Yarrowia lipolytica: one gene and its partners. The protein of the gene in region 3 interacts with the protein of the main gene of each other region in a pairwise test. Links are inferred from orthologs where the notes say so. Each region holds a gene or a part of one and is shown on either strand. Other genes may lie near its edges. The genes, in order: YALI1_E34028g, YALI1_E18854g and YALI1_C28963g.

Region 1 (9,269 bases), on a different chromosome or scaffold from region 3:
CACAACCCTCTAGTGACATCTTTGAGCACATACAAGCCATCGCTACCGGCCTTAACTCTTGCATATATCTCGAACTTTATGCGCCAGCGTAGCTACTTGTAGGGAAAAATCTACGGAGAATACTGAGGCATAATATATGGTAATGGTGTGGCTTCAAGCTATTTTCCAGATAACTGCTCCGGTGATACATTGGTAATCAACTCTTGTATCGGTAATAGATCTTTAGCCTTCAGAATGTATGGAGTTGGCTCATTTTTGTGTCCTCATGCGAATCGGATGCCATGCTACTTACCGGTACAAGTACATACTGTACCTGTAGGTAACTGGGCTGAAATGGATGGCCCATTCGTGAATCTTCACGATCAAAGAATGAGTTCACCAATCTTTGTTGCAGAATTAAGCTTGACGTTCAATGCTTATCGGAGACCAGTCAGTGTCATCTGATCCGAAAATCACACCTTGGAGTTCCTCATCTGAGACAGGAATAATCAACACAGGTTAGGGACGGAGCGTCAGCAGAGAGAAACAGCGGCAAAAGATACGAGAAACCCTGAAGGAAAAAAATTGCAGTACCCAGGATTCTCGTATGGCAATATTAACGGACTCTCTGGTGCTTTACTATGGTTGATCAAACGGGGAGCCATTATTTCTTTTTAATTCATGAACATGCATTATGTTACGAGCATGGATCATTAGAATAAAACATTAGAATAAAACATAAAAAATCAATTTATCAGTTACCCCTACAAGTAGATTAAAAAAAAAAAAAAAAAGTAGCTGAAATGTATAAAACATCCTTCTGCGTTACTGTCGTGTAGTAGCGTGTATTAGTCGGATTCTCCTGTGCTCTTCTCCTCAATTCCTCCTGTTTTCACCAGGATATATGGCAGCAACTGACGAATTTTGTTCATGGTGAAACATGTTGAGACCCAAATGTCACGTGACCGGATTTCCATCAGAAATCTTCAATGACTGAATGAATGGTGTCCACTTTGCAGCACACTCCGTTTAAACCACACCTTAGGCGATGAGGGGTTGGGCTCTGGTAAACTAGCAACTTGTAGCGCTACATACTGGGGCTGGGGGTTGCATAGTTTTGTGTTGATAAAGTGAGTATTTTTTATTCACACAGACAGCATCGCCTTTTATGTGGTTTTTTTACCCATTACACCACTAATATATCTGTCCCGCCGTCCGAAAAATCACATCGCCCTCTCTGGGCAACTCTAACTCGTTATCACGAAAGTGTCTGTGCCATCTTAATCTTCTTTTCATATATCATCTTCTTCTCATATATCACCACAAGATGCCGGTTACTTCCAACAGAGACCGGATATTCTATTTTGCGGCCGTCAGCACGGCGATGCTGAGTACCGGCAAGGTGCTCAATTTCTTGGTGATGGTCTTTCACCTGACCATATGGAGTACGACTTGATTTGTTTGATTGATACCCACTACCCTCCTCTAACACAGTATTGACAGTGCCCTGGCACCTCGTCAAGGTACGCATTCTGTACACATACGAACACAAACCAGGATTTTGCCAACGCTCACATTTCTCTGAGTACACAGGCATGTTGCTTGCTCGCTGGATGTTCAGCTTGGAGCAGACCACAGCAGGCCGTATCTTGTTTGGACGAACGGCGTGGATGTGGTTCTACAGGTTTCGCCGGTTCCGTTCGGGAGCAATCGACATGGGCGACGTGCGATTCGAAAACGACCCGATTATTCCAGGGCTGTGGGTGCGTTCTGAAGGACGAGTTCCAAACTACGACATTGTGCTCTTTTGGATGCATGGAGGTGGGATGGTCACACACTCACCTTACATGTATCTGGAGTTCATGACAGCGCTAGTCACATCATTACATATGCAGGGCTTCCGATCCCCTGCCATCTTTATGCTCAAGCACAGCTACGCCCCCGAGCACCCGTTCCCACATCAACTCGATGAGGCGGCAGTCGCGTGGAACTACCTCCAAAAGGAACACCCAGCGGCCAACTTTGTGTTTGCCGGTGACGGTAGTGGTGCGAACCTAGCTCTATCTCTATTACTGCATCTCACACGACCCTGTCTTGGTGTCACTGAGTGTTTGACGAACGTGAAACCACAGGCAGCTCTGCTATTGAGCCCGTGGCCCAACTGGAAAACTAGCATGCGTGAGGAGACAGAAAACTGCTACTTTTCAGCATTCCATTTGCGCAGGTATAGAAACTACTACATTGCTCGAGCCAAGGAGACGTCGCCATACTTTGACCTCTCGTGTGTCACATCTCTGTCATGGTGGAAAGAGTCCTTCCCTGAAAAGGGTATGTATCTCATTTATGGCACAGAGGAGATGTTCGCCAACGAGATAGAAGAGCTTTATGGGGTCCTTCGGCTATGTGGACCCATCAAGATTGATGGGGAGCTGCGTCAGATTCACTGCTGGCCCATCACAACGCACTTCCTTGCCCGAGACGAGTATGTCCGCGGCGCAGGAGTGTTCGCGATAGCCTTGAATCTCGGAAAGATGTTAATTTGGGGTAATGATGTGAAGTGAGAAGGAGACATGTGAGGTATCATTTCTACACCCACAATAATCCATTATAGAAACCTGTATAATTGCGTGTTTATTTTAGGATGCGCTGTACCGCGGTATGATTCATCTTCAGCAGTCCTTGTTACTGTACTACAGTATACTCAAGTATCTCGGTGGAACTCCCACATAATACCCAGTCACGCCAATGGAATGTTTCAGTACGCATTCTACAAGCCTCTTTGTGTCGTTACAATAAGCGCTGCAAGCAGCTGGTACAATATTAATACATCTACTCAACGGTCTCGTCTCGCTTCTTGCCGGAGATGACGTCGATGGAGGCTGTGTTAGTCAATTGCTTCGGATGCACCATTTGTAACGGATTCTGTGATACTTACTCTGAGTGACGCTAAGGTAGGGGTACTTTCCATCTCCCATCTCGGAGTTGGGGGGGTACTGGTAGGTAGCGTTTCCAGTGACCATGACGGGGGTTCCGGTCTTGAGAACGCTGAGGAATTGGGCGGCTCGATCCTCAAAAGAGGTGACGGAGATGAAAGAAGCGGGTCGATCCTCTCGGAAGTCGTTGATAGCAACGGTGTATTTGATGTAGGGGTTGCCAGCAGCGGAGGTCAGGGTCTCGGGGGCCTTCGCGATACGGCCATGGAGAGTGACCTTGAAGGCGTCTCGGGCAGCAGCAGAGGTGGTGAATTTTCGAGTGAATCGGAACATTGTGTTGTGTAGGGAAGACGGTGGTGTGGTGCGTGTTTAGGAATTATAGTATAGATGTGTGGGACTTCGGACGTGTTTACCCTAACCCTGGCGACGAGGTACAACAACGTGCCTCAAATGAGTGCGACGAGAATTCAAGGAAAAACTTGCTGCATTGCTGCAGAGACGTAAAATATATATTCAGGAGGGCAGAGTGGGTTTGTGTAGCTGAAGTTTCTGGTTGATTCTAATACAATTATTCTGTACTCTACATCTATATGAACAACAAGTATTGGAGGTGGCTGTCTATCAGCTTCGAAAACAGACTTCCAAAGACCTTTAATATCGCCCGTTCGGGAAAGGTTTGTCTGAAAAGGTTCGGGTCGGGCAGACACACGGGAACTTTAGTTTGGCGTTGAAAAGAAGACGGCGAATGGGTGGCGTTGTAAATCGTTCCGAGGGGTGTCACATTGGAGATGGCCCAATGGATACGATGATTGAGAGGATGGGCGTAAAGCGTGTAGCTTCAAATTTAACATTATGAAAGCTTTCAAGATGTGGATACGAGTGGTACGAGAACAAGTGTACTAATATTGGTGCATACTACAAGTCTAGCAGGTGTACGATAGTAAACCATCTCGTAGGTGGAGTATACCATCTCGAAGGTGGTCTGTATAGTGTAAAAATACTGTACACGATACTGAGAGACACATATCTACACTACAATACCAGCCTTCTCGTAAATATGTAAAGCATGTCCAAGTAAGCTTCTTAGAATGTGAATGCATGACTACTTCGTAGTTACAGTAGATCCTTGTGACTTTTAATAGAATGTATATGCAGAAAAAATAGCCTCATTAGCTCTCTAAAAAGTGCTACAAAGAGAAATTGCCAACACTTCTGGCTGACCTATCAATCGAGTCCATATTATTCATACATCCTGCTTCACATCTGCTACTTGACTTTGGGCAAAGTCGAACCCACGCACTCGGCTTATCACCTCGGCTGCATATGATTCACCATACCCCGCATAACCCATCTCTCCATCCCACTGCACACGACACAACATGTGGGAGTACCAAAATGCAGCTATTCGACTAGATATTCTGTCGGCAGGCTCCTCGTGGAAACAGGACCCCGAGGGCAAGAAAGTTCTCAGAAATCATGGCTCTTCAGCCATCCATCTGTGGAACAAAAACAAGCCCGAACAGGAGCTGATTCTGTGTTCCAGTTGTGACCTTGCCAACTTGAGTGATGATAAGGGAGAATATGGACTCAAGGCTCATGCTAGACTACTTGTTGCGTCTGAGGGAGGACTCAAATCGGAGCACCTCGAATGGGTACGCGGTGAATTACAGGCCGTCGTGCCTCTGGCCGATGTGAACCAGGTGCTACAACAGTACACAAGTGGCGGGTTCAACTTCAAGCCCACTGCGGAGGATTCCAAGAGTATTGGAACAAGATGGGAGGGGTCCAAGGCCGAGCTTCCGTCGGTTATTGTGATTAAGCCCCTTGGAAAGTTGCCTAGACGGGGCAAGAAGTGTGAACAACTCGCCACCGCGGACATTTCAAAGGTGCACTTGGAAGTGCAGTGCTCGCCATTTGTGTTGGTCAATCCGGCGGTGTTCATGGCTTACACTGTGCGAGGTAACGCCTCTTACTTGGGATACACAGCCAACTTTGGACGTCCTCAGACCAAGGCGTCGGTGATTTTCAGCGATATCCGGTTTCTCGAAGGTATGGAGGGTGGCGTTGTGACGGATACGCATGGAAAACTAATCGGCATGGTTGTAGGATGCCTGTCAAAGGCTGGAGGAGAAGGTACATTGACTGTGATTGTGCCCTGGCAGGAACTGATGGACACCCTAGAGAAGAAGGACGACAAATACAAGCTGAGAATGTCAAAGACTGTCTCGGTTGAGTCACCAATGACCCCCGCTTCTTTCAACGGGGTCTGCGCCATTACTGTATCTCTAGCTGGAGGTAGGAGAGGCTGGGGTTCAGGTGTATTGATCAACAGAACGACAGTGGTCACCAATCAGCATGTCCCGGGAGATGATTATCAGTCTGTGACGGTATGGTTTGATAAGACCCATAACTCTGAAGCTTTCGTTGACCAAGCTCCTCTTCCTGGTGTGGACCTGGTGTTCTTGACTCTACGAACCCCAGCTCCGCCTATTTTCTTCCCTTCTAGACTCAGCAAGACCCCTGCATACCGTGGCCAGCCGGTCGAGTCGTATGGATTCGGTCTCATGTACCCCACTGCCCCTCTCCGGCCCATTCAGCCCTTGTATTCTCGAGGTCATATCGCTTCAGCAGTGAAGATGTCCCTGGAAGGAAAACCAAGCAAAGACAACGCTATGCTCTGTAGCACAGCTCACTGCTGGAATGGTTCTTCAGGTGGTGGGGTCTTCGACTCGAGAACTGGAGAACTCGTTGGTATTATGGCAAGCAATGGAAAGGTTGACAATGGAGTGATCGTGCCAGACATGGCATTTGTCATTCCTGCATGTGGAGTCATCGATAAGGCTCTCCAATTGAAACAGAAGGGGAAACAGGGTAAGGTGGCGGACAGAGTGAAGGATCTCTGGGCTCTGAGAGAGACCCATGAGAGTTTGTTCAACCCTGCGAAGCCAAAGCTTTAGAGCTTCTGATTTCTGTTGTATAGTATGCACTGTACTTGTAATGTGAACATGATCTAACTATTATTATTTGATCCAGCTGCAGAGAGCTGGTTGTCTAACTACTGGTACATCGCTTGTACATCGTCCTTCCACATTGTACCGGTACAAGTACATATCGTACAGTATGTACATACAAGTACAAGTTCAAGTACATACTGTACCGGGGCGTGTAGGGTATGGGTGTTAATGAGTGGAACTGGTTGAGGAAAAGTCGTTAGTGACCATCCATGCATTGAGTCCATAGAACCCTTATGTCTACAGTTACACTGATACCTGTCAAGAACGACAGTGTGCCTCGAAACAAACTCGATGCGCGTTCTCCTCTTTGACTGGGACCTGCTTTATCGTAACACCACACATATCATAGCACTTACAGTACAGTACATACTGTAGCCCCACTCCAATGTTACAGTAACCTCGTTTAAACACGCAGCAGTGATGTGAGAAGAAATGTGAGTGCAAAAATGAGCTCCCTCTTGATAAGGAGACAAAAAAGTGGACGACACCGGAATCGAACCGGGGACCTCGCGCATGCTAAGCGCATGTGATAACCAACTACACCAGACGCCCTGGAAGTTGCGTTTGGAAAAAACATGGCCAAGGTACCGTGAGACACTTAACCCTAACCCTGATTCACTACCACGAGACCACGACAAGGACAAGAATAAGATGAAGCGACGACGAACCAACTGGCACGTGCCTCGCAACGCACATCGAAACGATTACTAAGTGTATGATTTATTGAACGCCAATAACCCGGCTTACTACTTATAGGTATATAGCTGTAATGAATCATTAGAATTAAAAAAAAAAAAAAAAAAAAAAAAAAACACAATTCCCAAAGTGGATTTTTGGGCGATAAGGTGATATGTGAATTAAAAACGTGCGTGTGCTAAACTGGAGCAAGTTTTTAGATGTGCCTACTTGTAGGTGTCTTTACTACTTACTGTACAGTATGTATTAAATTGGTATCAATGAGGGGTCTGGAACCATGAGTCATGCCATAAGTATGAGGTTGACGTATGTTTCTGTGTGGGGTACGTTGTACCCGTACATGGCAGGTGAGTGTCTGCGTGGAACTGGTCATTTTGGAGATTTTCTGATATGAAAAATACAAGCTTCTGATTGGTCGCCCATATGGCCTACACAAATGCCACGCGTGCCCGTGGCTCCCTTTAGTGTGGCTGACCACGTGCCTTCTTCTGATAAGTCCCACCCCGTCTTCCTACAACGGCACGTGACATTTCGTTACCTTATCATGCATGCATATAGACCCAACCCCCACCCAATAATAAAGAGACCCGATTGGCGTGTCAACTTTCTTCCCGTCCATGCTTCTTCGTCGAGTTGTCCACAACACATCCTCCATCAGGTTCTATTCTTCCATGACTCTCCAGCCACTTCCCAAGCCCGCACGATTCGCTCAGACTCCTAAGGACGTGTGGTCTCTCATCAACGAGGCTGCTGCTGCTTCCGAAGAGGCTTCCGGAAAGAAGGTGGTCAACCTTGGCCAGGGCTTTTTTTCCTACTCGCCTCCTCAGTTTGCCATTGATGCTGCTAAGAAGGCTCTTGATGTACCTGCGCTGAATCAGTACTCTCCTACACGTGGTCGACCTTCTCTTCTTAAGGCTGTCTCTGACGCTTACTCTCCTTACTTTGGACGAACTCTTGATCCTGCCTCCGAGATTGTCATTACTGCCGGTGCCAATGAGGGCATGTACGCCGCCTTCACCGCCTTCCTGAACCCGGGCGATGAAGTCATTGTTTTCGAGCCCTTCTTCGATCAGTACATCTCCAACATTGAGCTTCCTGGTGGAAAGGTCGTCTATGTTCCCCTCCACCCCCCCAAGGATTCTCAGCATACCTCCTCTGCCGCCAATTGGTCCTTGGACATCGCGGAGTTCGAAGCTGCCATCACCCCCAAGACCAAGATGATTGTTGTGAACACCCCTCAGAACCCCACTGGTAAGGTCTTCAGCAAGGAGGAGCTGACCCAGATTGGTGAGCTTGCCGTCAAACACAACCTCATTGTGCTATCCGACGAGGTCTACGATCGTCTATACTTTGAGCCATTCACCCGAATTGCTACTCTTAACGAGGCTCTTGCTCGTCTGACTCTCACTGTTGGATCTGCCGGAAAGATTTTTGCTGCTACCGGATGGCGAGTCGGCTGGCTGATCGGAAACCCTGATCTGATTAAGTACGTCGCTGCTGCTCACACCCGAATCTGTTTCTGTGTCAATTCTCCTCTCCAGGAAGCCTCCGCACAGGCTCTGATCCAGGCCCAGACTAACTCGTACTACGACGACACTATTGCTAGCATCAAGAAGAAACATGAGCTGCTCAACTCGGCGTTTGAATATCTTGGACTGCCCTACTCTCAGGCCCAGGGTGGCTTCTTTGTGCTTGTCAACTTCTCCAAGGTGAAGATTCCCGCTGATTATGCTTTCCCCTCTGACCTGGACGGCCGAGCCAAGGATTTCCGAACCGCATATTGGCTTATTAAGGAGGTTGGAGTTGTTGCTATCCCTCCCACCGAGTTTTTCATTCCCGAGCATGCTCATCTCGCTGAGGATTACCTGCGATTTGCTGTCTGCAAGGACGATGATCTGCTTGAGGAGGCTGTGGAGCGACTCAAGGGACTCAAGAAGTACATTGAGTAAATGAATGGACTTCTAGTTGGACTAATCTATAGATGATAGAAGAGGCTGTTCCGTGGTTCAGTCTCATTATTTATGTTTTTTGACATGTAACAAGTGGGTACATACTACTGTACAGTACAAGTAGAGTCAAGTCTTACAAGTATCGTATGTACTTATTGTAGCGTGTGATGCTTACTTGCTTGTAGAGTACAAGTATCGTACGGACATCGGGCACAAACTGGTCTGTTCACATGTTATTATGAAATAAAATAAAAACGTGTACCGAAAGGTTGTGTCTTCAGGTCTCAGTATAGGAGTATGATAGTTGCTGCTCTGTCGTTCCCCGTTGCTCCTTATTCCGGTGGAGAACAGATAGCTTGATGTCTAATCTTGTGCACTACGTTACTACTGACCGTGGGCAACTTGAATGTCGCTCCGAGACGGCAACTGGCTTGACCGTTGTATGAGAGGAACCCTGCAGCCGGGTTCGAGGCCTTTCGGCATTTGAGGACGTCGGGTTACTGGGCGTTATTGACAGAGGAAGTCCTAAGAATATGACGATGATATGTCTACGGTACAGGCAGTGGATATGTTGTACAGTAGAGACTAAAGATGTGGCTCTTCAGGTTGGCCAAGCTTAGCAGTGTACACTACAGAATGTACATGTATCGTACTTGTATCGGCAACCGTCGATTGTCACGAACAAGTTATTATAATTG
Region 2 (10,995 bases), on a different chromosome or scaffold from region 3:
TGGCCAGCTCAGGTTTAGCCTTGCAGTATGTGATGAGATAGAGGAAACACATCTTCTTCACGTCCAGATCGTTGGACGATCGGATCATGTCGATAATGTCCTCGAATAAGACAATCATCTCATTGTTGCTCATGGTCATGTTGGCCACGATCTTCTTCAGCACCGCCTTCTTCTTTCCGACATTTTTCGGACCTTTGGCTGCCTGCAGCTCCGTTCTCAATTCCGCAGCTTTTCCCTGAGTTAGCATAACCTCCAAGACGCGCCCGCAAAGCGCGACCACCCCAAATACTCACCTTGGTGAAGAATTTCAAGTCACTCATCTTGTCGTGTACAAGAACAATTTACGTGTTCCGACTGTTAGTGCATATGCAATATCGCGCAGCCCATTATGTAAGGGGGGAGACCATGCAAAGCTAATATGGCGATGCTGAGATGGGTACCGGAATTCGGCCTGAATTATTGCTAAATACTGGAAAATATATCAAAAAATCGAATTAAACTACAAACGACTGATGAAGCAGATTCGGACGTGCTCAGATTATGCCAGATCATGCCATGACACGTCACCTCACTCTACAGTTTTGTAGGTATCCGAATAACACCAATAATATATATATAATTCATCAATAAAAACTCATTCCAATCCAATCCTACATCAGCCTAAGTATCGGGATACGATCTCAAATCCATAGTAAGAATCTTGGACGAGTTCACCTCCTGATCTCGGTAGATACCAACTAAACACTCTCCATGAGTATACAGACCCCGCTTGAGAGAAATCACAATGAACTGACACTTGCTGCCAGCATGCTTCCGAATGTAGTTGGCGACTCGTTGCACGTTGGCATTATCCAGAGCAGCATCAATCTCATCAAGCACAAAGAAGGGCGACGGGTGGAAAGAGTGGATGGAGAAAAGTAGGGCCAAAGCAGCCATAGTCTTCTCTCCTCCAGAGAGAAGCTCCATTTCTCGAAATCGTTTCATGGGGGGCATGGCGTGGTACTTGATTCCCTCAAGGTAAGGCTCATGCTCATCTTCGACAGTCAGAGTAGCCGAACCTCCCAGAGGAAACGCATCAGAACGAGTGAGCTCCTTGTACGTAGCGTCAATGACTCCGGAAATGTGCTCGAAGGCAGCATTGAACTTATCGCATCGAGCGTCTCGCACCTCTCTGAATTGGGCCTGCAGCTCCTGGAGTGCCTCACGTTCTCTCTTGGACTCAGCTTCGATGCTAGCACCCTCGGCCTCCACTTGCTCGAGTCGAGACACGGCCTTCAGGTTGGGGTTGATTCGCTCCAGTTCAGCCTGCAGAGCCTTGATCTTGGAAACAAGAGTAGAATCGTCGGCAAGTCTTCGAATGCCCTGGGGAAGCGACGAGAAGTCAACCTCAATATCGATATCCATTTGCGAGTCGTCTCCCTCAACCAGAGGCACAGACTCGAGATCACCTGACACCAGAGGAAGCTCAATGCCCTCAATCTTGCACTCTCGCAGAACCTCGTACCGCTGAGTAGCAGCAGTCTCAAGCTCGGTCTCAGACTGGGCAAGCTTTCGTCGCAGGTTATCGACCACGCCCTGAGCTCGGGAAAGATGCTCCTTGGCAGCGTTGGACTCAGTTGACGCGTTCTGAACGGCAGCTGTGAGCTTCTGAACCTGCTTTGCCTCAGCTCGAGCCTTTTCTTCCAGAATACCAATGTCCTCTCTCAGCTGGGCCTCATCGGCCTCCCAGCCATCCACAGCTGCCTTGTCATCATCGATAGACTGTCGAATCTTGGCCAGTCGCCCCTTGCACTCGTCCACACGCTTGGAGCCAAACTTGAGCTGTGACTCGAGAGTAGCAATCTGCTGAGAGAATGCGAGCCGCTTTCGCTCGGCACCAGCGGAGAGAGAGCCATGGGTCTGTTCATATGCAAACACGTCCTCAACAGTCACGCCGACACGAGTGCAATAAGACGAGAACACGGTGTACCAGACTTCGTCAAGGCGTTGTTGAATGGTGGCCTTCTGTGTCTCGAGCTTTTCGAGATCACTGGCGGTGCTGGCAATCTGCTTCTTGCTCTTGGCAGCCTCCTCGCTGTAGTACTTGAGCTGCGAATTGATATCCTTGAGACGGTCCTTCAGGCTGGCAACATGCTTCTGGGCAGCAGACACTTCCTGTCGCACCTTGTCAACCTCACGCTGCAGTGTATCCTGACGCTCGGGGTCAAACTTTTGCCGACCAACAGTCTGTAGCTCCAAAACCAGAGCATCCTTCTCTGCCTGGAGCTTTGTAACCTCAGACTCGTCCCATTTGGATGCTCGCTTGCCGCCATGGTGGCCCTTCTGGGTAGTACCACCAGTCATAAGACCAGCCTTGTGAATCACGGAGCCATCGGTGGTCACAGCCTTGACATTCAGGCTCCATCCAAGGCGTTTAGCCTCCTTAAGGTCGTCACACACAATGGCCGAGCCACAAACGTACTGGAAAGCCCGTTCGTACTGAGACGAAAAGGAAATGGCATCAATGGCAAGTACAGCCCCACGAAGACGCGACCGCAACGACGAGTTGACAGGCATGGCCTTGATAGTATCGAGGGGAATGAACGAGGCAAGACCGCCCTGCTGCTCCTTGAGGTATGCAATACAGTCCTGTGCAGTTTTGAAACTGTCCACAACAATGGAATCAATGTCCTTACCGAGAATGGTCTCCACAGCAAGATCGTGTCGCTTCTCCTTGGGCTTGCACAGGTCGTAGACGAGACCGTGGACCTTCTGTGCCGAGAAAACATGCTTCAGGTTGGCAACAGTCTCTTTAAGTCGTCGTTCTCGCTCAGTCTGTCGCTTGACCGCATTTAGCTCAATCAGACGGTTAGCCACAACACCCAGCTTGTCGCCAAGCTCCAGCTCGACACGTCGTCGGGTAGTCTGTTCGTCCACAACCCGAGCCAGAGACTCACTCTGAGTTCTCAGAGCAGACTGGTGGGTCTTGAGTACCTCCTCAGCTTCCTTCAGTTGGGTCTGGTAGACGCCAAACTCGCTTTTAAACTCCTTGACCTTGAGTTCCGAGTCCTCCTGTGCCTGCTCCAGAGCTCGCTTATGGTCCAGAACAGGTCTGAGTTTTCGCTTCACCGTCTCAATCTCAGCCTGCTCAGCCAGCGACCGCTTGTGCACCTCATTTTTCAGCGTGCTATACTCGGCCGCGTCCTCATCAGTTCGAATAACTCCGCCTGACTCCTTCTGCTTCGATGACAGATCTCGTTCAAACTCACTGGAGGCATCCTGAACCATCTTGAGAGAGCCTCGAGTCTGCTTGACTTCGTCCTGGTGTCGAAGTAAGTCAGCCTCGACAGTGCCGTACCGAGCCTCGTGACGCGAAATGTTGCCGGACACCACAGCAATACGTTCAGCCACAGGCACGAGCTGCTGCTTGTGCTCCAGAATGACGTCTGCTCGCTTCTTTGCCGAACGCTCCTGCTTGAGCAGCCGCTTCTTGTCGCTGGCATATTTGGCAGCCACGTTTTCCACCTCCTGAGCAGCCTCCTGAACAGCCCCCTCGGCGTTCTGGATAGCAGCGTCTCCACCTTCAATCTGGTCTCGGGCCTCATCTTCGATTTTTTGGGCCTGCCACAGTCTCCACAGCTGCTGCTTCACAACGGCCTCGTCTCGCTCTGCGGCCTTGGCGGTGTACGCGTCGTAACGGTCCTTGAGCTCAACGTAGTGCTTCTTCTCAGCGTTGTAGGTACGTCGTCGCTGCCAGGCTGCGTTGCTTCGCTCAGTCTGGACATCTAGCTCCTCCTTGAGACGGTCGTATTCGGGCTTGAGATCGATGGAGCCAGAGGTGATTTCAATCAGCTTGGACAAGTCTTGAGGCGACTGACTGGCAATCTGCTCCACATCTCCCTGGAAGACCAGGAAATTTCGGGCCTTGACCAGAATGTTTTCCTTCTTCATGGTGGCATTGTATTCGCCTGACGACGTGACCTTGTTGTTGATTCGGTACTCAGACGTGCCCGAGGGTGTGATGGTTCGCTTGAGCTTGAGTAGGTCTCCATTTGACTTTTCGTACTCCACCAGAACGTATGCCGACGTGGCTTCCTGAGACTGGGTCGAGCTGACTTCCTCGCCACGCATGATTCGGCCTCGGTAGATGAGGTCCTTGAGCTGGGTGGATCGGAGCTGCGAAGACCGCACTCCGAGCACAAACGAGATGGCGTCCATCATGTTGGACTTACCCGAACCGTTGGGGCCGATGATGGCCGAGAACGACGAGTCACCGAGATCCACACGGTGCGTATCACGGTACGACTTGAAGTTGCACAGCTCAATAGCCTTGAGGGTGCCCATAGTGTTGTGATGGTGTTGTGATGGTGTGTGGTGATGTTGTGTTGAAGTGTACGCGTGTTGGTGGTAGAATGACAATTTACATTTCACTCGCGTCCATCTAAACTTTATTTTGGAATAAAAATACAGTAAAAGAAATAAAAGAAAATAAAGAAATAAAAGAAATAAAAGAAATAAAAGAAATAAAAAAAATAAAAGAAAAAAAAAAAATAAAAGAAAAAAAAAGAAATACTTTGTAAATTACGAAGAAAACAAAAATATAACTCAAGTACAAGTACTTGCTGGTTTCTCGTTATAGACATTGCGAACCACACGCACGATAATTCAGAGCTCCACGCGAATTCAGCTCCACACGATTCAGAAGCTATCAAACCAAACCTCAACGGACTGGTACTATCTGTAGAACATCAATGATAACGACTGTTGTTGTCGTCAAAACTGGTTGCTCCGGTCGAGCTGCTGTGGATCGATACTGTCTGGACAAGACTATTACTACAAGCCTATACCACTGATCTTCAGTTGAAAACAACTCAATGCGGGGTGATGGCGAATACCGATTGGAATTGGGACAGGAAAATCAGTTATCTCCAAGCTCGAGGGGAAATATCGTATCTTTTTGTGTTTTTTTCAGACGTATTCAAGTCTCAATCTTCCAAATACTGTATGCATCGCTCGTCCAGTAGCCTGCCTAAAGTTTTTGATGCGAACGCGTAAACAATAAAAGATGCGCATGTATGATACTGTTTAGGGGGTAGTCTAGACGACGCTACCATGGACCTCGAAATGGTTGGACCAGTACAGAAATTGAAGGAAAAGAAGGAGCAGAGGCTCAGAATATGGCAGTAAAGAGGATATCCACTGACCCCCCCTCCATGTTCCTGTTTCTCTAAATTTTGCCACCGCCACTCCGCGACAAGGTTCGCTTCTTACCCTACTTAATTAAGAGTGTGCACGCCTGCGCGACGCGTTCTTTCCAAAATTCATCTGCTTGTTTTCTACGCTCCACAGCAACACACACACACATACACACAAGACCACAAGATACAAGATGACGTTTGAGCTATCGACCGGATTTTTCGACGCCGTGGAGAACGCCACCAGCCGAGATGAGCTGCCTGAAAAGTTTCGGGCTCCAATTCTCCAGATTGTGCGGCCCATGAGCGAGCTGCCCGGCAAGAACAGATTCAAGGTGACTCTGTTTGACGGAGAAAAGCCCGGCATGGTGTTCGGCGACCTGGACAACCTGCCCCAAGAACGACCGGGCAAATTCGACATTGTCAAGCTCAGCAACTTTGAGCTGGTCATGGCCAAACAGCGAGGAGTCGTCTACGTCCACCAGATGGACTTCTTGAGCCACGCCGACGCGGCTCTGGGACTCGATACCGAAGAGGATGCTGAGCTTCCTGGTGGCGCTGCTGCTACTGCTCCTGCTGCTGCCACCAGCAACCCCACCCCTGCCAAGCGAATGGCTTCTACCAACGAGATTCCTGCTGGTGTCCAGGCCCAGGGATTCCCCGCCACTGTGATGCCCATTGAGCGACTTTCGCCTTACCAGAACAAGTGGGCCATCAAGGTCCGAGTCACTTCCAAGGCCGACAAGAAGAAGTTCTCCAACACCAAGGGAGAGGGCCAGCTCTTCAATGTCACCTTTATCGACGAGACGGGCGAAATTCGAGCCACCGGCTTCAACCAGGAGGTGGATAAGTTCTACCCCATGCTGGAGGAGGGCCAGGTTTACTACGTGACTCAATGCCGAGTCTCCATGGCTAACAAGAAGTTCTCCAACGTGAACAATGACTACGAGCTGGTGTTTGGCCGAGACACGGTTATCATCCAGGCGGACGAGGCCGAGGCCGCTGCTATCCCCACAGCCAATTACTCGTTTGTGACTCTCGATAAGCTGCAGGATGTTGAAGTTGGCAACAATGTTGACGTTCTTGGTGTCGTCCAGAACGTTGGTCCCCTGGAAGACGGCGTGGCCAAGGCTACTGGCAACCCCTATAAGCGACGAAACCTCATGTTGGGAGACAAGAGTGGATTTGCCACCCGTCTGACTTTCTTTGGAGAGAAGGCCACTTCCTTCGACGAGGGAACTGTTCCTGTTGGCACCATTATCGCCATCAAGGGCGCCCGCGTTGGCGACTTTAACGGCCGAAACCTGTCCACCAGTCACAGCTCCACTATTGCCGTGGAACCAGCCATCGACGAGACCTACGCGCTCAAGGGATGGTATGCCTCTGAGGGTAAGCAGACGAGCTTTAAGCAGCTGCAGACAACTACCACCAACAAGCCTGTGGCCGCCACACCCATTGATGTCGCCACATCCAGCTACGGACAGTCAGAAAAGCCCGACTACTACACCCTACAGGCTTGGGTCGTGCACGTTCGAACCGGCAACTTTGCATACCCTGCTTGTCAGACTCCGGACTGTAACAAAAAGGTGGTCGAGCATGGTGACGAGTGGCGATGCGAAAAGTGTGAAAAGAACATGGATAAACCTCTTTACAGATACATCCTCTCCATCAACGTGGGAGATGCCACAGGAAGCATGTGGCTGACGGCATTCAACGAGCCTGCTGAAGTGATTATGGGCATGACCGCAGATCAATTGACCGAGATCCAGACTAGCCAAGGAGACGATGAGTTTGAGCAAGCTGTTCAGAAGGTCACCGGCAAACAGTACACTCTGCGATGCCGATCCAAGCAGGAGTTTTACAACGAAGAATCCAAGGCTCGTCACCAGGTTCTTACGGCGCAGGCGCTCGACTATCTCAAGGATATTGATGAGCTCATCAAGGACCTCGACCAATACATGTAATGGGGGATTGGTGTTACTAGTTGTTATGAATGATGGGGGTATATATAGTTTATGAAAGATTGTAATTTAGCGCAAGCAAGTAGTTCTGTCGTGAGTTCATCATTCATCATTATCTATAATCAGTTCTTGTGGCAAACACTGTCGTTGGCTACCTGTTAGTAATCCGCTTCCACACGTTCAACGCTACAGCATCCACAGCACCGAGATTAGGAGCTGCAACACTCTGCTGCACCTTGAACAGCTTGGTGTGGGTTCGGTTCCATACACCCACTGCAGCGGCACCCGTACTGTACCCTGTGCCCACAGTGTCAGCTAGGGAGGTCACTTGACGACCCACGCGAGCCTCATGGGTGTAGAGACTGGTCCAAATGAGAGATAGATACCAGCCAAGAAGCACTGGGTCCCACTGAAACTCAATCTTGTGGAACTTTGTGGGCTGCACAGGAGGATTGAGGGTGCCTATAGTGTCGATCATCGTGGAGGGTGTGTCTTTAGTGGTCTTGGGCTCGTCGCTAGCAGGGCTTGTGCTGGAGCTTGGTGGTGGTACTGCGGAGTATGTGTTCAACCCAGGGACAGAGGACTCAATCATGGCGTAGACCGTGTCAATGGTGTCGAGTGGAAGGTCTTCTAGCCATGACAAGTCCTCCTCACCATTTGTAGGCTCCTTTCCTTTCTCCTTCACGAGGCGATGCAGCTTTTCAAATGACGACCGTCGCTTCTGTAGAACAAAGACAAGCGACTTGTTGGCCTGAAAGTTGTATTCAAGCATGGCGTTGATGGACTCCAGGGTGAGCTCCAACAGGAAGCGGTTTGTGGAGTTGGCGAACAAGAAGGAGGGCGATGACAGAACGTCGAAAATGTCAACCAGCTGGCACGACACCGTGTAGTCGATATGCTTGGCCTGCACAGACAGGTTGTAGATGCATTCAACCAGAGTGGGGATGATGGGGTTGATTTCTTCACGAGGTTGAGTGATGACAGAGAAGAGCTGGCCAAGCACATAGTTGAAATTCACAGTGCCATCGTCGAACGAAGACACAACCACATCATCATCACTCAGATAGAGCAGGAAGTTACTGAGCAGCCTCAGAGTCTGCGTGCTCTCACACATTTTGATTTGTTGCAGAATCGATAGAATGATGTTGTCGAGGTACCCCTTCTTTAGAAGCCACGGCAAGAATCGCTTGTTGGTCTGAATGATCTCCCATAACAAACAGATAATCTCGTTGGTGCGTGTTTCCTTCTTGCCAGTCAAAATGGAGCCAGAGGAGGCCGAGAACTTGGCCAGAATCTCGCTAATGTGTCTTGCAATGAACTCAAAGTCCACATCCTGCTTGAGTTTGCCCAGAAAGTATCTGAAGTTGTTCTTCACGCCCGGCTCCGGGGGGTAGTAGACAACAAGCAGAAGCAACAGTTCCAGGGCCCAGAACGCCGTCTGAGAGCCCCCAAACACGACTGTTTGGAAGGCATTGGCATCGCGCAACAACCGCACCAGCGACAAGTTGAGCAGAGAGCACAGTAGCAACAGGGTGTCGCTCTTACCAAGCCCGCTGACAATGCACGTGAGAAACCGGGAGCCCTGCGTGGTAACATGGTTAACACTAGTGTACAGCTGTTTGCACGAGCAGCACACGAGTAACCTGAGAATCTCGCAGCGATTTCCCTCCTGCGCGCTGGTCACCCCTCCTTCCACGCTGTGACAACCCACTCCCATTTCCCAGATTTGCGAGGTGCCGCATAGCTTTTTATTGAACAAAAGCGACACGAGCTTTGTCACCAGCTTCTCGCCCAGAATGTCGTTGCTCCAGAAGAGATCGTCATCAAACGTCTTGGTGCCACTTTCAAACACAATTGGTAGCACCCTGGTGAGAACGCGAATGCAATTGAGCAGTTGCGGCTCGGGCGTTGTATCGTCGCAATTGATAATCTGTTGGCTCACGACTCGGACCAGAGTGGCTATATTGTCTGGAAAAGTCTGGAGCGCCGTTCGGACATCGTTCTCGCCCACCAGTGTGAAGATGTCGCTGGCGTTTTCCGGAACCATCCATAATTTGCTCCAGAAGATGGTATCTGATTCAGGAATGCTGGAATCCGTCGACAACCGGAAAATCTCGGTGCGAAACGTCTGTTTCGACTCGGTTTGGCCCATTGATGTGCAAGTCGGTATATTGAGGGTGGTCAGATGGCCTGAACCTAAATCTCGCGTACAGGGTGATAAGGGTAAGGGTTGGATTGTGAGATGCAGGCAAAAATAAATAAATTGTGATAACATAGCGTAGAAGTAGAAGCAGAAGTAGAAGTACTTGTACAAGTGCTCGTGATTCATAACGTGTACTTTGTTTAATATTTTCTAAATCAATTTTTAATACGTTAATAGTCGGATTTTTTTTTTTTTACATTTTCATAATTTTAATTCATTTTTAATTTACTTTTCCAAGCAGAGTTTTATTGAATTAATTCTGTTTCACGTTAGGTAGGTGTTTAAGTAAATTTAAAGTAGAAAAGTAAATAAATAAATAGATAAATAAATAAAAAGGAAAAAAATGAAAATAAAAAAACGTCCATGTCCAACCTCACCACCGACTCCATTCAAAAATCCAATGCTTAATTCATTATTTATGCTTGCTATGTACACTTTTACACGTTTAGACAGCCCAACCCATTACAGGTCGAGCATCCCTTCCACCATCACCACTTCTACCACCATCCCTTCTTGTTCTTTTCCTCTTCCTCCTTCTTGGCGATGGCAGCCAGCTCGTTCTTGATTCGCTCGTTTCGATCCTGGTCATTTCGAGCCTCGATCTCCTTCATCTTTTCTCGCACAGCCACATTGAAATCAATGGGCTTGGAAGCCATGGGCCCAACCTTCCAGATGGGCTCGTTGGTCTTGGACTGGGCAATGGCCTCCTTGACAAACTCGTTGAAATACTCCTGCCGAGCATCTCGCTCCAGCATGTATCGCTCTCGCAACTCGGGGTTCATTCGTCGCACAATATCTTCTTCGGAAGGAGTGGCATAGCGGTATCCCAGATATGCCGATCCGATGACGCCGACGGCAAACAGACCAAACTTGGGCCAGTTGGGCACGCCGGGCCGCGACCGGAACATTTCGACAATCGGCCAGTTTTCTAATCTCATGATTGTGTGTGTATGAGCGTGTGAGTGAGGTTATGACCAATGATGATGATGGTAATGTGGACAAGGTGATAAATCCTAATTAGACTACCTGTCCCACTCAGGTTATGAGTTAAGAGGAGGGATGACCAGTCTGGAATGGCTTAGAAAAAAGAAAGATTGGGGGTATTATAATATTCAAACTGGCAATTAGGTGCTAATTTGACGTTTCATCTAGCAGTCAAATACTCATAATCTGTGACACTGTCATAATCTGTCCCAACCACGTCCCAATTAAGGTCCATATACAGATATTTCAAAAAAAATATCGAAATAAGAGTAAATAAACCTCTGCACCAACATCTTCGCTTAAGAATGGCTTATATGACTTATTGTTATATCTCAAATGTTCCCTGGAAGCTCCGAAAACTCCTGCTTGTACCACTCATAACCTGACGTCCCCCCATTTCGACGGATTTTAGCGTGGGGGGCATTCAACCTGCAAAACCTGGGGCTGCATTAACCCTAGGCAAAAGGGCACGTGACCAACCTTATTTTGAAATGTCCACGTCATAAGCAGATCGTCGTGAGTAACCTACTTTTTGAGGGAAGGGGCTGGTAATTGTGAGGAATGTAGTTGTCGGATTCGAGTTTGAGGGGTTCAATTTTTTCGCCAATCGAGATACAACTCATAATTACAAGTACTTAGTTTCATCAAGTGCATCTGTGGAACATTTGGTCAT
Region 3 (11,977 bases):
CTCTCCTGTTGCAGCTCTCGGAAAGAGTATGGCCAGTATATGGGCCACGAGGTCATGTGTGTGATGCAGCCTCCCTTAATGTCCATGTTGTAGAACTTAATGAGAGTGTGTAGGGCCTTGTGCATGATCAGGCGTTCTTCTCGGGTTTCGGCCATTTCTATTGTTTCCCACAAGTCCCGTTCTCGAGGCAGATATTGCCGTTCCGGGATGTCCAGAATGGGATAGGGACTTTCTCCCTCGTTGGTCAAGCTGAGTCCGGTGATAGTTTCGTGGACTGCCCGGATGCTTCTAGACAGGCCAATGAGATCCCCCTGGCCAGGAATGTAGTTGATGAGGGGAACTAGAGGCCCCATTGCTAGAGCGGTGATGTAGAGTAGGGTTCCACTTAGCATCATGTCTCCATAGTTGGACATGTCGCCTAGTTGCATGTTTTCCAGGTTTTTGTGAAAGCCCTTCAACAGGGCCGTGAACATGACCAAAGAGCGCGCCTGGAACTCTTCACTGGGCGGAACGTAGCCAGTTATGAGCTTTTTGGACTCCAGCGGTTTGCTGGTCGGGTGTGGCTCGTCGTCAACGAGGTACTTGGCGGGTGCTCTTCTTTGAGCCAGGTCCATGGCTGCCAATAACAAACATGCCTTTTTGATGGTGGGGTTGCATCCGACTCTGGAGGGGGTAGTTTGGATCCAAATTTTGTCTCGTGCGTCGTTTGCCGAGAGAATGTCGACTATGGAGTGGTGGTAAAAGAAGTTGAGCAGTTCGAGATCTGTGAGATCTACGCCGATGAGCCGGGCCATCGAGGTTCGTCGCAGACGCGGCTTCTGCGTTCGCAGGACGTGGCCTGTAGGGCCGACAATCTCCTCTCCAACGGTCTCGAATTCGTCGTCACTGTCGTCTTCCAGCACTCGTTTGGGGCGGAAAAGTGCTAGCATTGGCGTGGGACTGGAGGAGCTGGATATGTGCCGTCTGGATGGGGGTTGATGGTTAGATGAAGAGGAACCAGGGGTCCAAGGTCCAAAGGAGACTAATAATTATCGAATGTGGGTTGGTGAAGATGATGGTAGGGAGTTGGAAAGGACTGGGTTGTTTGCAGTGACCTGACAGACACTCGATGTATGTATCCATTGTCTTGTCGGCTATTATACAAGCTTGAGATGCATGCCGCTGCATAAACCAGGGCTTGAAACCCCTGTGGCACTGACCGAGGCCAGACAAAGATGTGACCGTCGCTCCCCCGAATGGCCGACAGAGTTAAATAGAGCGGCTCTAAAGCTATACGAGGAACGAAGGTTAGCATTCCTTGGCGAGATAAACGAGTAATATCGTCATTTTTAGCGAGATGTTTATGAGCCGTGACAGCGGCATCTAACATAGACAGCTGTCTTGTTTGCTACTTTTCTTTGTGCTCATGCCTGTCACCTCGCTCGCTAACTCGCTTGACCCTGCAGAAAAAAGTCACTACAAGTAGCGCCCGTTTGCTGAACCATGCATTCGCACAAATGAGAGAGGCGAGAAAGGAAGACACCGCGGAAACTCGCATATGACGCCGTTGTCTATGTAGATCTTGGCCATCAGCGCTGAGCAGAGAGAAAAAGAAACATTCAAAAGCCGTGGGGTATACCGTGTTTGGCTGAACCAACTGGGCCAAACAAAGTTGACACTAGTGACTGTTAGTGCGATGTCACGTCTAGTAGAATAGCCCCTAAGCATCATATCATCTCCCGACGTGACACACCCCGAACATCCGGGTGGGGACTCGGTCCTTCTTGTCCCGTTTTCTTTGCTGTTGAAGTTTTTGAGGACCCACACCGCGCGACTGAACCCTACTGTGTGTACCGGTTGTGCGTTTGCAACGTACTCCCGGGAAAGGATTACCGAAGACTTCAACTATGAAAGACCATGTATAGCATCGACTGCTATCTCTTGCGACTCGCCATCTCCTATCATTCGTGTCCCGTTTTCGTCCGAGAAGCAGTCGAAACAACCGGGTGTCACATCTGTCTCCTTTCGCTTCTACACTTAAGCGAATCTCGCCAATTTTTGCCACAACGTTAAATGCACAAGGAACAAAAGCCCGAGGAACCTAATTTTCTAGCTTCATGTATCCATTTATGCATCTCCCTGTCATGTTTACAAGTACAGTTGTAGTACAGGCCACAAGAACGAGTCCCGACTACGAATACCTCAGTTATAACCAGAGTCGTCATTAGGGAGTGTATAAATTATTTATGGATCGATTCTAACTGGTTGGTCCAATTCACCCGCTTCACACAGGTTCTTTTATCTTCGGAACTGCGAGACCGGCTGCGAGACCGAACCCCGTCAATGTAGTCGTCACGGCGTCTCTCCCGACTGCGACCCCGCTTAGACAGCCCATCGGTATTCAACGCCTCTGCATGATCACGGTAAACGCCGAGAAACCCTGGATGGCGAAACAGCTCTTTCTGCATGGCATAGAGGAACAAAGACGCCGACTTGTCATCTGCAAAAACCACCCTCCAGATGTTCTTTGTGTCGTCAGGCTTGACAATCTTTTCGCTCGGAGTGCCATGGAGATGTGCAACCTGAGCCATCTCGGCATTTGTGACGTAGCTGGTAGTCTCAATCATCACAGCCGGCTGTACCGTTTCGTCGTCTTGGACGACGGCGAGCTTTTCGGCCACATCAGGGTCCTCTGCGCAGATGATGGGTTTAGGCTTGATCCTTTCACCACTTCTCGACCGAGATCTAGAGTGATCCCATACAGTCCTCTCCTGGGAAATAACCTCGTAGCCTGTGGAAAAGACCTTCTGGGCCTCCCCCCGGGTCTGGTCCTTCTGATATAGATCCACCTCTGTGGCATGGAGCTGCTCGTTGTAGTCAGCTACGTTTTCTTCGAGCTTGTGATGGTTGTGGGTCCGCGATAGTGATTCCTTTTCGACCAGGGAATTGGTCAGCTCCCCGGTATCCTCTTTGTGGTGTACTGTCACCTTGGCCACCTGTCCGTCGGGTTCCACAGTGGCCTTGGTCGTTTCTTGGTGATATCGCTGCGTGATCTCACTGGGCTGGCCCGTCACGTCGGGAAAGGTGTCGTGGACCTTGAGCTCGATGTTCACCGTCCCATTGTTGCACGTTTCCGTTTTCTCCACCATGCGGATGGCCTGCGATTTACCCCCACGGCCTCCGATGATTTCCGACTCGAGGGTCGTCTTGGACGCGCGGTCCAAGGAGCTGTCTTTTGGGGCGTGCTTTCCCTCGTGTTCACCGGTCTCCAGAATGCGGTCCACGCTGTCCTTTATCGCTTCGCTCCATTCCATATGGGAGGGGTTTGTCGTCGAGTGTGGTCTGAGTTTCCAGGCGACGTTTGGGGGGTCCGAAACAGTTGATTGAAGTTTGATCAAGTCTAAATCTAAAAAATGGGAGTCAAAAATTTCAGTCTCTGAGACAACTTGTGCATGGCTTCCGGAAAACAGAATTCGACACTGTCCAAAACAGAGCTTTATCTCTCAATCCATGCGTCATCTGAGCGACATTGCGGCGATATTTTTCTGAAACCGTGCGTAATCAGAAAGCTCTGGGCAGCAGATATGCATGGCCGATGAGACCAGTCGAGGAGCAGAAGGTAACCTTGCATAGAAATGTGCTAACGACCCCCCAAAGGGGGAAATCTAGTGTGCTCTTATAATACCTCAATATATGTTTTACATGTTCTACAGATATGGCGAGTCACCTCCCCATGGCTGCGTTGGAATACCCTCATCGTCTTAGAGTTGGAAGACCCGAAGATCGCCGTCTTTCGAGTCTATTGTCATGCAAGAAGAATTGAACGCCTCCTTACAAAAATGTCGTGTGATACAATACCAAGTATGACCAATAAATATTCGTGTATATACATACTTGTGCTTTCGTCTCTATCATTACTTGTCTCCAGGCTTGGCCAGAGCTTCGTCCAATCTATCGAAGAATTCATCGTCAAACGACGACGAGTCGATAGATTCCGCCAGTTGTGGTGCAGGTGTCATTTTGACAGGTGCCAGTGGTATTCCAGAAGATGGTTGAGACTGTCTCTGTTCCACAGGTACCGCCTGGGTCTGTACTGAACCTGTAGTCGTCTGTACCTCATTGGTAGTCCCCTGTGTACCCTCACTAATCGACTGGCCTCCTCCAGACTTACTACTGTTCAGAACATCCTCCAGCTCCTTATCGAAATCATCATCACCGATGAACTCTTCCAGGCTCATATCTTGCTCCCGTTCATCGTCCAATTCCACCAAGTCATGCAAATGTTGAGGAACCTCTTCCTGCTCTAGCTCCTCCTCAATGTCTTCTGCCAGGCTATCATGAGACCGGTTGCCCAAGGCCTCATCGAGATCTGCTTCGAGTTCATCAACATCGACTTTGGTACGCTTCGTAGGTGGGGTAGGGCTGTTAGGTATGTCTTGGCTGCTCTGACCATTACTGGACTGGCTGCTTCTCATGGCCATCTCCTTAGCGGTCATGAACCCCAAAGTCGCATTCTCTGGCATCTTCAACACCTTCTTCTTCCTCTTCTGAGGCACAATGAAGTGGCCGTTCTTGTCTTTCCTCAGACGCAGCTCCTTGTCACCTTTGGCGACCACATCCGCGAGCTCCAGATGATCCTTGTCGGTTTTGTCTAGAATCTCCTGGTTCTCACCTGGTAAGATAACTTGCTTCATGAAATGGGGAGGAGGAGGATCGGTAGCGGCACCGGGAATTACACGATTCGGAGGGTAAAGCTTTACACGAGACCCCTTTTCCATCAAACGCTGAATGTAGCTGTAGTTATCACGCGACTTGATATTGTTCTCCATCTCCTTATCGGTCATCAGAAGCACTACCCGACCGTCTCGGGAACGTCCTGTTCGTCCCATCCGCTGCAGAGACGTAATAGGTGAAGCGTTGGAGTCGTAGCAGATGATGAGATCAACCTGTCCGATATCGAGACCTTCTTCAGCGATGGAAGTAGCCACCAGAGTATTGTAGACGCCCTTTCGGAACTTGGAAATAACCTCTTGTTGTTTCTTTTGGGTCATTCCCCGTCCACCTCCCTCTTCACGTGAAGGAGCCTGGCCAATGAACTCATGTGGCTTGACCTGTGGGAATTTGGTCAGATACTCCATGATCACATTCACAGTACTTCTGAAGCGCGCGAAAATGATGCATGTACCTGTGTTAGCTCCCTCGGGAGCCTTGCTGAAAAACTCGTTCAACTCCGATCCGAGATAGTTCAACTTAGGATGAGCCAGGTATCCTTCTTTTTTCATGATCGTCTTGGTGGCATCTAAAATTGAGCCAATATCCCCTACCTGTTCGTATGACTTTGTAGGCTGTTTTCGAGCCATTTCCTCGTCGTGTCGTCGCTTCAGGGTGTCGTAGAACTGCGTGATTCCCTGGTGTTGCAACAGCTGGGTAGCATGGGCTATGGAGGCTACTACAGCTCCAATACCTCGGTACTTGTACTGGGCAGCAGGTCCGAGATATTTGGTTCGAAACATGTACCGTTCTATCTCCTTCTTGACGCCAAACAGTGAGATTTTTGCAATGTCTGTGTTATGCAGCACCCCCTTCGAGGCCATCATAGACAAGGTAGGTTTGAGTACCTGCCCAGTCAGAGCCAACAACTCATTAATATCGCTTCCCAGATCGACGTTGATCTTGACCTCTTCTCGATTGTGCATGTACTGCTGCACATCTGGATCCTGTTCTCCCTTGACTTCCAAGTGACTAATTAGAAGATGTTGCACGACAGACTGCACCCCTTCAACCTTGGAAGCTGGAGTGGCTGTGAGGCCAAGAACACGGAAGCTTTGGTGTGCATCCAGCAGCTTCTTGACCACTATTCCGTACGAGTATTTGCCACTGGTGTGATGTGCCTCGTCGACAACCAACAAGGAAACCGTCTTTGGGTCCAAGATCTCACCATCGAGATCGAGCTCCACAACCTGAGGAGTGGCGAAAAACACACGTTTGTTAGCCCACTCATGTGCTCTATCAGCCTGTTTAACTCCTCCCATCAGCACACTGCAGTCGTGCCTCGGGATACCAGTGATTCGAAGACAGGCATCGATTTGCTGTGAAACGAGGGGCTTTGTTGGCGCCATGAAAATGATCTTTGCATCTTTAAACCATCGGTAAAAGTTGAGCATGACCACAGACGCAATGAAGGTCTTACCTAGACCGGTGGGAAGAGAGCAGAGAGTATTCTCAATCAGACAAGATTGAATGATGGTATGCTGGTAAGTTCGGAACGGCAGATTTGAGGGGTACAGAAAAGATCCGGTGAGACCCGTCGTCTCATGGTGACAGGCTGTGTCCATTGGTCGAGGGTATGTCAGGTTCAGATCAATGTCTGGTGTATTTGTAGATTCTGCCGGATCAGCATTGTACCTGGGTAGCTGAGTTCGTTGTGGTCCAGAAGGTTGCTGTCGCGGCGGTTGCTGTCCCAGCGGCTGTTGTCGAGCCGGTGTTGGTTGTTGTTGAGCAGTTGATGGCTTGTGAACAGCTGTTTGTTCCTTTGTCACTGGTTTCGCTGGTCTGGGTTAGTATTGAATCGTTCTGAAAAGCGTTTCGAACACTCACTCTTTTACCACTGTGGAGAAGTCGAAATCGTCGAGATCGTCGAGATCGTCGAGATCCGAGTCGTCCAGGAGTGCTGGAGCCTTGTTCTTGGGCAGCGCATCGAATTCGCTGTCGCTCAGGTCATCCAGCAGCATATGTTTGGTGAGTGTTGATTTTGCCACTGTCGCCGCGAAACGCGTACTCGTAATTAACACCCCTGCTTAAAGTTTGGCCTTCAGGTACGTGTTGATTCTTGTACAAGAACAGCATGGTAACTACAAGTATCGGTGGGCGGTATTTGGAGGTGGAGATTGCGTTTTACGAATCTACTGTACAATTACTTGTTCAGTGATTTGAATGGACGCACTTCTCACTCTTCAAACTATGTCTGAGTCCATCACCGACAGTGCATGAGTGGATTCATATTGGGCAGCCCAAACAGTGAGGGCATATCAACAGACACGATGATGGCACTTGAAGAGCTCTACAATCATGTTTCACATTCATTCTGGTATTCGCATCTAACAATGCGAGAAGCAAAATCGCGGTTCAAATCGGACCCAATTCAGGGGTCAGATAAGTTAGCCATACTTCTTTAGAACTGCCTCCATTGGAAGCCACGAAGAGGCTTGCCAACGACCGTGATGATTATGGATGAGCGAACGAGGAAACGAGTGAGCTCGGAAAGAAGCATCTGCGAGCCTTCACGAGAAGAGTGGAGAGAGGCTTGCTAGGAGACACTGAAGTGGACCGACGTTAGGAGGTACACGGATGGGTCGACGCTGTGGACTTGCGAAGAGAATGGAAGCGAGTACACTGGTGATCAGTTGGAATGCTAATGATAACTGGGAACCCTCGGAGGAGATAATGGAGCCAGGACGATGAATCTGTGGAACTGAGCATGAAGAGTTCGGCTTGAGCAATGAGGCGACGAAAGTTGGTGAGTGAGATCACGATCCACTGAGGAGGAGATCTGTGAAAGCCTGGATGTACTGGACGTGATTCGAAGAAGCAAGTACTGAGTAACGCCGAGACAAGTGGTATTTGACGAGGGCGCTGAGGAGACAATCTCGCGCCAGAATACTTACGACAGAGGGGTGATCCCACAGGGAGCCCGATAACAGCTTATTATTGAAGCTTGAGATTAGCAGAGCCAGGAGCGCAGTATTGAGACTAGCAGCCTTGGATAGAGATAGCGACAAAGCGAAAGTGCATTCGACGGAGACAGTTACGGAGTGATCACTGAAGCGGACGCAAAGAGTAAGATGCAGAGTGTGAACGATTGGCTGATCAGATATTGCTGAAAACCTGAAGCAAACAGTGGAAAGCGGAGATTGCAGAAAGCTTGAAGCAAACAGATGGTGGAAAGCAGATTGAAATTTTTGGAGATTTTGGGGACTAGAGATGATGCTGAAGAGTACACGAACAATGTGAACGAGTATTACGTGTCACAGTATTGATGATGCTGTTTGTGGCGTTGATTGAGATCTTGGGAAAGATGAGAATCAAGTGAAAGATATGTGGATTCTATGAGTGGCCAAGCGACGAGCGCTAAGTAAGACCAATGAAATGTTGGATTCGACTTCCATGATGTTTGAGATATTGCCGTGAGCGGTTGAACTCGAATGGTTGGAGTTCGTATCACTGGGATTGGTTATGTGGATTATGGGTTGAATTATGACCCGTGACTCGTATGATCCATGAAGGACGTGGACGTCTCTTAAGGAGGGGAGAGTGTAACTGCACCAGACTTGATGAGCTTCCCTTTGGAGCAGTTCGACCGATCATGAAGACCAACAATTGACAATATTCTCCAATCACTTAGAACCCGTCAACGTATGGCAACGCATGGCAACATCTATGGTATACCACCAACACATTGACCAAGTCCCATAAATCGTTGAGAAGCCGATTTGGGGTCTCCCTCACTTCATTTTGAAGACAACTTCACATTCTAATTAGTCACTGGAACTGACAGGCGAAATCATTGGGAAATGGGGAACCACGCAACTCACTAGACTCACTAAAACTCACTTAAACCAACAAGTAATAGTCAGTATCCTGAGTGTAATGACGGCTAACTCTTCCTTCTCTATCACCACTGCTGTACTACAGCATCATCTACAGCATCTACAACTGAAATACAACACTACGAGTCAAATATGCGGGTGGGACTCTGAGGTCCATGACGAACCCAAGAGGTTCGGATTTTCACTTATTCCTCTGAAAAACTAAATAAATAGATCAGGTTCGGTCGGCTACATCCTCTGGCTGAGAGAGGTTCACTGCCTATTCCTTTGTGTGACTCCTGGCTGGCCTCGGCTCTTTGGCCCTGGCTCCTTAGCTCTCGTCTGTTCCGGCATGTGGCACTTATCTGTTGTCTCATAGGCTTTTTCTCAGGAGAATAGCGCTCTTATTGCTCTTTGGACTCTGCTCTTGCTGCCGTTCAGGACTAGTGGGTTGGTGTTAGCTCAAAACTGCATATGGCTCTTACTGCCTTGACTCACCGGCTGGGTGTTCTTGTCTCCGCTATACCGGATTTACCCTGGCTCTGTGGATCTGGTAAATGCTCTCATTGCTTCTTAGTGGCTTGCACTTCGGCGGCTCTGGCATTCGCTACGACTCTGGCTTTCAGCTCTGGACTTCGGACTTATCGTGGGACTTATGGATCTGACCCAGACATCTCTTGCGCTTTTGACCATATATGGCGTCTGTCAAAGCAGATATTTGCTCTAGCAATGTGTTTCAGCTCAGCGTTCCAGCTTGCTCCTCAGCGCTGGCAGCTCTGGATTTTCAGCTTGGCTATTCGTTCTAGGCGGCTCTCTCACGCAGGAATTGCACCATATGAGACCTTCACAAAGGAATTTCACCCTGTGAGTATGGAGTATCTCGAACACGAGTTTCACCTGTGAGAATGATGGGAGTCTCTCAAATGGAATTTCACCCTTGAGTATCTCACTGTCGGTGGCGCGGGCTTAATGGCTCTGGCTCAATGCTCCGGCGGCAGCTCATGCGGTCCTCAGGAACTCTCACAAGGCACGAATTGCTCTGACACTTTTCAGCCGGCACAATCACTCGTTTTCAGCCCATGGCGGTCAACCGGACACGAAGGTCACGGACTTGAAGACACTTGGCTTAGGCAGATGTATGTACTGGCCTCTGTGTCGAACTCGCTGACTTCTCAGCTTAAACGCCCAACCAGAAGCTGTCGCACGCACTAGGCTCATGCGATTAAGCGTCATTGCCTTCTTAACCGACATTTGGGATTCTGTAATCTCACCACATTGCCCAGTCACAACTCAAACGGACGACAAACAATGAAAATGTCCTCGTTGTGGACAGATCTCTATTAGCTGTCTTGTAGACACAGCTCCGCGTCTCAGCAGGCTATAAAGGGCAACTTCCGTTTTCAGAATGACACAGAATGAACTGGACTGATTCTGATGGAAAAGTGAGGGACTGGAGGGGGTTTATATTCTTGACCACGCCCAATATAGTCCAAAAGAAATGGCTGGTGTTGAAAATATGCATATACGATGCATGACATATGCAATATATATGCATGAAAAATTAGAGCCAGCCCAGAACCTGCATGACAAAGAATGTGTGGAAGGGAATGGAGGATGGATGTTTGTCCAGATTGATGGAAAGATTGTAAACTGGACCAAAAATACGTAGAATCACATATAAATGGCCAGTGAATCTGAATATTGTATTATGCAACATCAAAATTTCTCGGGGGAACAATGAATATGTCCTTCTCTAAAATTTCCAGTCGATTTTGCGTTTTGGTCGAGCTTAAAAATACGACAACCTTAAATCAAAATATTTGAAAGAAAACGTGCAACGACAGAATGTTGCATTGCATGTTACCCCGAGAAAAAGACTAGCCCCAAAGCCAGCAAATTTACTGAGAAAATGATGCTAGGATAAACAATCAAACGATAGAGAGGACGGTTATGTAAATGTGTTTGCGGCCTCAGAGAGACGAAAGATTGAGAACCTTAAATGTGGAGAAAATACATGAACATACTGTAGGCGGTCCGAGGTGGCAAAAAGGGATATCAACCGCTTGGTGTGACGAGAAAAAGAATTGCAGCACCTAGGATTCTCGTATGGTCTCCCACTACAATACTAACTAGGCTCTCTGGTGCTTGACTATGGCTGATCGGACGGGAAGCCGTATTTTCACCAGGATATGGCCGCAACTGTCAACTTTGGGTGTTGGATGTATATACTGGAACTAATATGTCACGTGAAGGTGAAAAATTCACTTTATATCCGTTCTAAAAGAAGAATCGCGGAAACCGCGAGCACAATTGCTCTATGCTTTTCTGAAAATTAGAATCCGAGTCCGATGTGGATTTAGCATTGTTTATAGGTCTTGAAAAAGTAACTGAGATGTATTTCCCCAGAACCAAGAAGAAAGCTGAGAATGGGTCGGTTCTGAGCATAAGAGGCTAGCGTAGGTGGTGAAAACCAGTCAGAATTATGTTGACATGGATGTTTAAGGAACGGCTACTTCGTGTGGATGTTAATATTGTATTGTACATACTGTATATAGATGTGCGTAAGCACAACAGAGACTTCTTACAGACGGGACACCGACTAACACTGTCCCTATGCCATTCTCTCAGGTTAGGCCATCTTTTCAAGAATCAGAACATGGGAACCCCGTTTGACTAGTGTTTTTCTTTCAGAAGAAAGAGGCTGTAAATCACGCCTTGAATGAACCTCGACGGAACTAGACGGATACGAATTGGCTCTGAAAATGTAAAAAAGGGGCCAAACCCTTGACAACATTTCCGGTTGAGATTTCGTTGCCGCATTTCTCTTCCGACGCTTCCTGCCCGTACCCCTGCATCTGAGCAACCCTGGACATGTGTTGGATTCCGGCTAATAACAGAGCGTTCTATTTAGAAAGCCGGAATCCTTGGACTCGGAAAAGGCCAGAGTCTTGGGGGTAAGCACGAGTACTAGTAGCAAGGTTAATGAGATCACGCTTCTACAATATTCTTGAGAAAACCCGTTTCAACGAGTTCATTGGCCAATCGTTAGGATAGTTGATGATACTAAACCTGTTTTACCTTGTCACTTGGAACTGAAGTTTGGCCATGACTTGATACACTTTCCGCATTTACGTGAACCTATTTCACCACTCTCCGATGCAAGTATCATATCACTGTATTGACCAAGAAAGTCAGGCAGTTCTTCTGAAAGTCGGTCTCTCACTGATAAGCCATCCCTGCATCACAGCTGCAGTCGAGGTACATTAACGAGATGAGGGGGATAGGTCAGAGAGATAATATGAGATAGTGAATGAAAATAAACAAAGGGGAGAACAATGCAACACATTAATATCAGAAGTAAGATGTCCAAGATCTGTCTGATATCCAAGCTAACACCCATTTCAGCTCACCCT

The links.
Region 1: the proteins of YALI1_C28963g (region 3) and YALI1_E34028g interact in a two-hybrid assay, tested with the Saccharomyces cerevisiae proteins (2 studies listed by BioGRID, with this or other methods). The link is inferred for Yarrowia lipolytica from reciprocal best matches to the Saccharomyces cerevisiae genes MPH1 and RIM1.
Region 2: the proteins of YALI1_C28963g (region 3) and YALI1_E18854g interact in a two-hybrid assay, tested with the Saccharomyces cerevisiae proteins (2 studies listed by BioGRID). The link is inferred for Yarrowia lipolytica from reciprocal best matches to the Saccharomyces cerevisiae genes MPH1 and RFA1.

The regions. Positions count from the first base shown.
Region 1 is NC_090774.1:3,399,952-3,409,220, forward strand, and holds YALI1_E34028g (uncharacterized protein), read right to left. Parts: upstream 3,246-9,269; coding exon 2,915-3,245; intron 2,859-2,914; coding exon 2,809-2,858; downstream 1-2,808. Other genes in the region: YALI1_E34015g (uncharacterized protein), read left to right, coding at 1,575-2,540; YALI1_E34042g (uncharacterized protein), read left to right, coding at 4,292-5,869; YALI1_E34072g (uncharacterized protein), read left to right, coding at 7,240-8,571. UniProt on the Saccharomyces cerevisiae protein: This protein binds preferentially and cooperatively to single-stranded DNA (ssDNS). Involved in mitochondrial DNA replication. Stimulates PIF1 helicase activity.
Region 2 is NC_090774.1:1,880,031-1,891,025, forward strand, and holds YALI1_E18854g (uncharacterized protein), read left to right. Parts: upstream 1-5,368; coding exon 5,369-7,138; downstream 7,139-10,995. Other genes in the region: YALI1_E18802g (uncharacterized protein), read right to left, coding at 1-235, 294-320; YALI1_E18843g (uncharacterized protein), read right to left, coding at 661-4,323; YALI1_E18895g (uncharacterized protein), read right to left, coding at 7,287-9,464; YALI1_E18903g (uncharacterized protein), read right to left, coding at 9,836-10,276. UniProt on the Saccharomyces cerevisiae protein: As part of the replication protein A (RPA/RP-A), a single-stranded DNA-binding heterotrimeric complex, may play an essential role in DNA replication, recombination and repair.
Region 3 is NC_090772.1:2,891,058-2,903,034, reverse strand, and holds YALI1_C28963g (uncharacterized protein), read right to left. Parts: upstream 6,711-11,977; coding exon 6,577-6,710; intron 6,532-6,576; coding exon 3,894-6,531; downstream 1-3,893. Other genes in the region: YALI1_C29021g (uncharacterized protein), read right to left, coding at 1-929; YALI1_C28997g (uncharacterized protein), read right to left, coding at 2,220-3,293. UniProt on the Saccharomyces cerevisiae protein: ATP-dependent DNA helicase involved in DNA damage repair by homologous recombination and in genome maintenance. Capable of unwinding D-loops. Plays a role in limiting crossover recombinants during mitotic DNA double-strand break (DSB) repair.